2 linked regions of the Daphnia pulex genome follow. The protein of the gene in region 1 interacts with the protein of each later gene in a biochemical or structural test. Links are inferred from orthologs where the notes say so. Each region holds a gene or a part of one and is shown on either strand. Other genes may lie near its edges.

Region 1 (4,234 bases):
GAAAACGATTTTGTGTAATTCTTTTTCCCAGGTTGAGAAAGCGGAAACCTAAAATAAAATTTCAATACTACGTGATGAATGAAAACAAACAAAGTTTTGCACTTGCGCTACCTCTTTCTCTGCCAACATGGCTTTAAACTGCTGAACACGATCCTCGAGGGGAATCACAGCTCTCTGCTGAGCAGCTTTCACCTCAGCCTCCATGGCAGTATCTTTGGTAGGTTCTTCGATTCTAACCTCTTCAATGACTGTAAATAGAGATTCTTTTCATTAAATTGTCTTTGGAAAATTTGAATGATGTTACCTTCGTCATTGATTTTGGATTTCTTTAGAGGAGGTTCATCGGTTCCGCTTTCGCTTTTCTTCTTTTTATCTGGCTTGATTTCTTTAATTTCATCTTTCTTATCAACTGCAAGGATAAAAACGTTACGAGTGCCACATTTCAAATTTAAAGAGTAGATATTGATACCTTGTTGAGGACTGTCATCGGGGACATTCGCTATCAACTTGTCGACGTCAGGTCGGTTTTTCAAATCTTCTGGTTTCTCCCAGACGGAAGAACGGGTACTTGGATTGAAAAAGAATACTCTTCCGTCACCAGTCCAAACAACGCACCTTCATGATAATAATAATAGTTGTATATATTGTAACTAAACTCCTTTAAAACCAATCGTACCATGGAGTTCCAGGCACCGGAGTGCTAGAAACGGGTCTGCTCTTGTCTTTCGGTACTTTAACTTCCTCTTTTTCCTTTGTTTCTTTCGCTGGTTCTGCCTTTTCAGATTCGGAGACTTTGGGTTCCTCTTTTTTCGCAACCTCGGGCATTGAAGCAGGCTGAACGGGTTGGGCAATTGGGACAGAAGGAGTGGCATGAACTCGGGCTGCTGCGGCAAGGCGAGCCACTACAACAAAGAGAAAACTTGAGAAAAACAGAACAAACAATAATAAGTTGGGAATTACCTTCATAATCTTTCAAAGCCTGTGGTTTTTCCCAAACACTCGATGATGATTTCACATTAAAGTAATAAGGCTTGCCATCAGGAGAACGGTATTCGCACCATTCCATTGCTTGTGACAATAGTATGGGATCAGTCTGAAAAACAAAACGCATTAAAAATTTGTACTGGATAAAAACTTGGTCAAAAGATGATTACCCCTGGATCAGATCCCAACATAACGGGATATGGAACAGGTCCAGCCGACAATGCAGGTGCAGGTGTTGGAGCCACTGCACCCCCCATGTTCCAACCTGGAAATTTAAAAAACCCTTAATATTATTTCTACTCTAGTTAAAATGAAACTAAAATGAATACAGACCTTGATGTGCTGGATAGAATGGCTGTTGAGCTCCAGGTCCATAGCTACCACCTTGAGTTGGTCCAGTTGGCATAGCCACTCCTGCCATTTAAATATAAAAATAAGTTTCGTTTTAAGGGCAATTATAAATGATCTTACCATTTTCTGGGGGCTTTGATGCTGCAGACTGTGCCATTGCTTCAACCTAGGAGTGAATAATAAAATAAGTTCAGGTTCTATTTAGGAAAGATGACTGATTTTACGAATTACCTGCTGCTGTGTCAAAACCTTTACGTTCGGCCCCTCGGGTCTAGTCCAAGTAGTCTCTCTTGATTTAGCATGATAATAATATGATTTACCATCTCCTGCTTTCGTTTCAACCCAGACTTCGTCAGTTGATGCGTCGATTTCACTAACTGGAGCTAGATGAGATTGCGGTTGAGACTGATGGGGTTGCTGGTATCCACCAGGTGCAGGAGCCATCCCAGATCCAGGATAACCAGGATGACCACCTATGTAATCCATTAGTGAAAGTTGAGTACCATGAAAAACTAAACACATTTCAAGACAACTTACCGTTACCGTATCCATGTGCTGTAGGCTGTTGAGGAGGCATATTTCCATAATGTTGATTATGGGGAGGTGGTACATTACCATAACTCGGAGGTGGTCCTTGTTGTGGTGGGCCACCCATGTAGCCCATGCCACCACCGTTTGGTTGATTAGGTGGACCTTGCTGTAAGTAAGATGTTTGTGAGTTATTGGACTACTGTCAACAGAGGCAACATTTCCTGACTTACCATATCCCATCCACCAGAGCCATCCATTGAATCGCCATTGCGACCACCATTCTGTTCCTGTGAAAAATGGGGTCTCATCTGTCGAGGATAATCACTATAGCCCTGCATCATATTTGGAGGTGGCCCTCGTGGCCCTCCCATCGGGCCCATACCTCTTGGTGGTGGGCCTTGGAAACGCTGAGGTGGACCTGGACGGGGGCCATGGAATCCACCATGTCCTCCTGGTGGTCCTCTCTGCATAAACGGTGGACGGGGGCCCATTGGACCACCTCCACCAAATGGTCTCATGCCAGGTCTCATGCCCATCGGTCCTCTAGGCCCCATTCCTGGTGGGCCTCTAGGTCCACCATAATGCTGTTGTTGATAAGACATGGGTGGGCCAAAGTCTCCATCATCGGCGAAATTCTCCTCATTTGCATTAGGGCCAGTGTTAGAGGGTCCCTCGATGAAAAATGAATCGTTGTTTTCGGACCCTGCAAGACAACGTTCAAATAAACTAGTAAGTAACGAATCTTGCTTTTTCTAGAGGAAGTGTCGTATAATAATCCATCAGATATATTTACCGCTATCCATTGTAGATAATTCAGATACCAGAAAGAATGATTATTGTCAACAACTTTTATTTAAACAAAATTTCTATTCCGGCGATGTGAGATTTGCTTGAGTCACAGCATTTTTGACGACCATTACTAAAGTGACGGTAGTTTACCAAACTGACGGTAGAGGGTGGTGAACAAGCAAAGCAAAATTAGCGCGAAATTCTTTCATGTTCAAATAGTTTAGCTTATGGATGATTTTACCAATTCTTTAGTTCATCGCGTTTTAAGTATTTGGAGTTTTGTATCGCTTTATTACACACATTACAAAGATTTTCTTGGCCAAAAAAAAAATAATTTAGGGAAGACATAGAGTTTGCCGACCGTGCTAAGCCATGGCTAGACGTTAAGATCCTTTTAATAGCTTTTGCTACCGCTTTCTTCGAATTCTTGAAAAGTTATTAAATTGTTTAGTGAGGTGTTCATGCAGAAAATGTCCAATTAGATGAAACGATTGCGCAACTGTTGTGTGGGGTCAGTTATGTATTGGCAATATTGCATTAATATTGAAATGTTAACAAAGAAAAAAGCCAATAAAGGATCTGACTTGGATCACTCATCTACCAGTTAAACTGTGATGGTGTTCGTTATGTTATACATGTTATATCACCTCTCAAGACATTGAGTATAAATCGTATAAAAAGTATAAATTCCACTCGCGCGGGAAGGAGAGTATCAATATAAGTTGCTCCAATTTTTGGATAGAAATAGAACATTTAAAAAGGGAGGTTTTAAGTAACATGTCGGGGTTTATATAGTACTATTTAATATTCTAATCTATGTAACATTGATATATAATTAAATGCTTGAAGGTAACATGTAGTATAGAATATGAAGAGATCAGTCACTCATATGTCTTGACCTGGTTGGTAGCGTGAGTTGAGCGCAATTGAATGATATTGCCATCAGACTCATACTTTGATCTAGACATTCATTTGGCAAAGGATGTGATAAAAATGTGGTTCAGGTATCATAACTCTAAACGCATGAAATACGTTAGAATAATGTTATAAATTGTCACGAGCTGAGCTTGTCTACTTGGATCATGAAATCCTAAATTTACAAGAATAAATGTCTGTTGTAAAAAGAGATAAATTTTTAAAAATATGAAAGCTGATGAACAAAGATGATAAGAAATAACAGTTCAGTAGGAAAAGGTGAGTGAATGATTGTCTTTATAAATTTTTGAAAATATGTGGAAAAATTGGCTTTTTCTTCTCCTGTGAATGCAAAGTAGAACCAACAACACAACTTGGTTGCAATATAGGTGTTCCAACAGGTCCTTTTACGGGTAGTGATTGATATGAAAGATAATAATTTAACGATTTATGAACACAAGTTCCTTCAGTCAAGGCTTGAAAATGATGGGTATAAATAACATTTTCCAATAAAAAAGAAAAAAAAAAAACTTAAGTTAGGTCATGGTTTGATGCCATGTCTAATAACTGTGAGAAATCCCACATTTCACCAGGAAATGTGTAGTGATGCAAAGGAAAGCCTCTACCTAATATTAATATCTAAAAGCAGCAGGTGACCAATTGA
Region 2 (4,024 bases), on another chromosome or scaffold:
TTCTTTTTTCTACTTCAAGATGGAAATACTCACTCGATCGACAGCTTTTTTAATGGCTTCCATACTATTGGCGGTTACATAGGCATGCAGAGGTTCATCTTCGCCTGGCAAAGGCTTACCTACTTTTCCTTCTTTGACTGATCCTTTGCCTCGAATTATAATCTTAGCTCCAGTGTCTTTTTCCATAGCTGGTAAAATATAACGATCGGGTTTAATGTTATGTTACGGTTAAATAAATAAACAAAAAACTTACATTTTAAAGTGTTTCCACGTGGACCAATCAGCAGCCCCACAAAATTGATTTCCGGATGCTCCTCTTGCGGAATCATGACTTTATCGGAGACGCGCGTCATAGGGGGTCTAATAATACAAGGAAAGTGATAAGTAAGGGCAGACATGGTAACTAAGATAAATGATCTTACTTGTAGTCTACAGGGGGTTTGAAGTCAGCATTTAAGGAAATCATCTTGGTGATCATGGAGTGGCGCTCTTCTTCTAGCTTACGACGCATCCGGTACTCCCGGGTGTTCAGCCTTTTACCATCCGTCCCGTAAATTGGTTCCGGTGATGGCGATCTGAAAATGAAGGAGGAAAAAAAGAACAAAGGGAATACGAAAATGAGCTATCTTTTCTTATTCTGAATTTAGACGAGGATAATTGTAAATTGATTAAGTTATTATTTTTGCAATTGATTAAATGTTCTGAAATTTTATCCATCCGTCCAGCTGAGCAATGAGAAAAATCGAGATAAAAAGCAATTTTAAAAAATGGCAAGTATAAATTGCCTATATTGAACGTTAGAATATTTCTTTGAAAATAAATGCACGTCCTGTAAAGGTTCAAAAAATCAAATTATAGGCTCCCTACATCTGAACCTAACAGACGGCATTAGTACGATTTCGGTTTGTGGTGAAAAAAAGATTAAAATGTCAACCAATTAATCATCACAACCTAGGCTCATTTGTAAGAACCTGAAAGGTCTTTGGAGGGAATGGATATAGATCAATCAATGGATAAAAAAGAATGAATTGTTTTATGCCTAGCTGACAAATTAAAAAAAAAAAAGATTGAAATATAAACAATTTAATTTTGATTAACTATGAAAAATTGGGAAAGAAACGAATTAGTATTGGCTTTATATATCAAACCTTTCTTCTGGATTGGGAGCAATGCCTAAATCACCAGTCCTCAGTTTCCGTGTTATCTCCTCAATCTTGAATTGGACTGAAAAATCACAAGTCAATACACACAATATTATGATGAATCAGTTAATACACTCATACAAGACAGAATATGCACTCCTGTACGCAAGTGATGAGAATGCACAATATTCAAAAATTAAGTTACACAGATGCACAGAACTATTACCTAGATACGCCTCCTCCTGGTCCTTTGTCAAGTTTGCTGGTAAAACAGTTGGCATGCCCGGAATGAAGGTCTTTTCTTTCTCATCTCCACCCCAGCGTGAACGCCTCTTCTTCTTTTTCTCTCCACCGAGTGAATTGTCATCTGAGTTGTTGCTATCTTCCAGTCCACGTTTCCAGGTGTTGGCACTGGCAGAAGTGGACGAAGATGATGTGGGGTAGCTGTAGCTGGGAGTTGTAGATGGCTGATCAAATTTGGATTCGTATTTTGTTTCGTACTTTGGCTCATATTTTTGCTCGTAGCTTCCGTGTGAGCCTTCATCATCCGAATTCAGATAATTCGGGTTTAAAAGCGAAGAAGTTGCTTGTCTTCTTCCACCGGTGAGAGCTGGATTGACCCTGCCCAGAGGTGTAGTATTGGCACCCGTTGAATGAGCGTTACTCGGCATGACTTATAGCAAAATATGGTCAAATTCAATTGAAATCGTGGACAATCGGACAGAAATTAACCGAACACGTAATGTCAGAAATAGAATGCGTCTAACTTTGCGCACATTGAAATGATGAGAGCCGAATTATTGCCCGACGCGATGAGACGCCAAGATGGCTGACGCGACATTGTCAAATTAATGAAAAATTTAATTTATCGATTAACTCGCATTTTGATTCGTTCTTGGCAATGTGGCAATGCTCGGTCTTTATTTATAAATCGTAATTCACTTTCACTTTCATTTGTTTAAAAACCTTTTCATTGCCGAGTGCCAACAACAAAAGTTACAAAACCTTTAGTAACCATAAATTAATCTAAAATCTAGAGGTTTGATTATGATGAATGATAAGACAATCACTAATTTAAAGTTCACCGCTAAGTAACGGCCAAAGTCGTGCAAGAATTTTTTTCGTATTTCCAAATGATGTGGTCGTATAATTGTTAAACCACGACAATCTAACATGTCAATGACAAGAATCTATTTAAATAGGTACCACAATCTAACAGACTCATTTGAAATATAACATAAAGGTGTCACAGTTGTCACACTGAATGGGTTTCGTAATCAGCTTTGCTTGGCTTTGCTATCATTGCTTGTTTGTATGGCACTATGGCTTCAAAAAATCATTGATAAATCACGTCAATTATAATTATCTATCCTGTTGCGTGTCATGTAGGCCCATCACATCAATCGGTTTTCGATAGTCCGACTTCACCACTCATTTAAGAAGGCCACATGTAATTTACTTTGCTCCACAGGTGAAAAAGTCACGACTGAATTTCGGTCACTTGTTTTGTGTTTTGGAATAGCGTTATTAGTTAAATGGGATGAGGGTGATTAGATAAAAATGTCCTAGTTGCAGGAAGTTATTTCACCAGTTTGTTTGCAATTGAGTTCCAGTGGAAAATCCCAAGCTGGAATTCCACAATTCTACAACCACACTGGCCATTTTCTAGATAACTAATGACGATAATTATCAGTCGTTTTTTTCCCCTTCATAACGATAGTGGTTAATTGAGGCTGATGACTTGGCAAGTTTATTTCTCATGGAAACACCCACTAGCCCTTCCCAGCGTCGGCAGGGTTTTTGGGTACTAGTTTTTTCCTTTTTTTTACATAGTAATATAATTGGAACAGGAGACCATCGTTTGCCTCACCGCCATTGGAGATGAAAATTGGCGAGAGGTTGCGCGATCCTGAACATGGTCGCGCTCTGTTTACATGAAAGAATTGGCATATGTGGAACAGTCGCGAATTCTTCCTTCTACTGAAATCGCCACCTAAATTTTACCTTTGAAATAATTTTTTGACAAATCCTGAAACCAACGGTATTTCAGTTCACGAATATTAGATGGCACTGCTTCTTTATTTATTAATTTTCCTAAAAGAACCGGCCCCAGCGTCACGACAAAATCCCACAACGAAGCCCATCTTTCTTCTTTTTGTTCTCAGGTCAATGACAATTGTAAACTCGACTCCTCCCACTGCTCATGAGTTCAAAAACCAGCAGAGGCGATAATGTTTTACGGACTTGTATGGGAATCGTAAACCAGAAAGTCAACGGTCAGTTTGACTCATCTGCTATTCAATCTAAAGACGTTATCTCAACTGGTTTACGTTCGAATTTCCAGTATTTGGACACACACAACCATTCCAATTCCTGATCAAATTATTGCGTCCTGATTTCGATTGTTCCAAGGTGAAAATAAAAACTTTGCTCACAATAAATCTACTACAATCGGTGTCGACGCAACCACAAACGCCCCGTTTTTTCTTTCCCCTACTGTTTCTATAAGGACATAATTAAGGACAGAATGAATACCATGTTGTAAGCTCTTTGGTTCGTTCCACGGCCGAATTCTACTTTGGCGCACAATGACAACCAAACGACTGCAATTTAAAAGAAAAAACAAGTGCTTTATTGTCCAATTGTTCCTGGAAATCAAGGATTCAAGAGGGGATAATGATGAAAACACAAAGTCTAGACGACTGTAAAGTTCGAATGAAGACGAGATACTGACGGGAAACAAAAAAAATCATAATAAGGAGACGAGGGCAATTTAAATCATAAAAAAAGAGAGAAAGAACTGTGACGATAAACATCGGGTGGAAGCGCACACATCCACATACACATCAACAGCAATTGGATGCTCGGGATGGAAATGTACA

Evidence for each region.
Region 2: the proteins of transcription elongation regulator 1-like (region 1) and splicing factor 1-like form a complex in vitro, tested with the Homo sapiens proteins (3 studies listed by BioGRID). The link is inferred for Daphnia pulex from reciprocal best matches to the Homo sapiens genes TCERG1 and SF1.

Annotation. Positions count from the first base shown.
Region 1 is NC_060019.1:12,732,103-12,736,336, forward strand, and holds the start of transcription elongation regulator 1-like, read right to left. Parts: upstream 2,820-4,234; 5' UTR 2,670-2,819; coding exon 2,660-2,669; intron 2,570-2,659; coding exon 2,097-2,569; intron 2,033-2,096; coding exon 1,873-2,032; intron 1,809-1,872; coding exon 1,567-1,808; intron 1,502-1,566; coding exon 1,456-1,501; intron 1,399-1,455; coding exon 1,318-1,398; intron 1,250-1,317; coding exon 1,155-1,249; intron 1,094-1,154; coding exon 961-1,093; intron 903-960; coding exon 677-902; intron 616-676; coding exon 470-615; intron 410-469; coding exon 305-409; intron 249-304; coding exon 112-248; intron 49-111; coding exon 1-48. UniProt on the Homo sapiens protein: Transcription factor that binds RNA polymerase II and inhibits the elongation of transcripts from target promoters. Regulates transcription elongation in a TATA box-dependent manner.
Region 2 is NC_060027.1:2,739,698-2,743,721, reverse strand, and holds the start of splicing factor 1-like, read right to left. Parts: upstream 2,816-4,024; 5' UTR 1,814-2,815; coding exon 1,369-1,813; intron 1,225-1,368; coding exon 1,149-1,224; intron 576-1,148; coding exon 423-575; intron 361-422; coding exon 254-360; intron 189-253; coding exon 34-188; intron 1-33. UniProt on the Homo sapiens protein: Necessary for the ATP-dependent first step of spliceosome assembly. Binds to the intron branch point sequence (BPS) 5'-UACUAAC-3' of the pre-mRNA. May act as transcription repressor.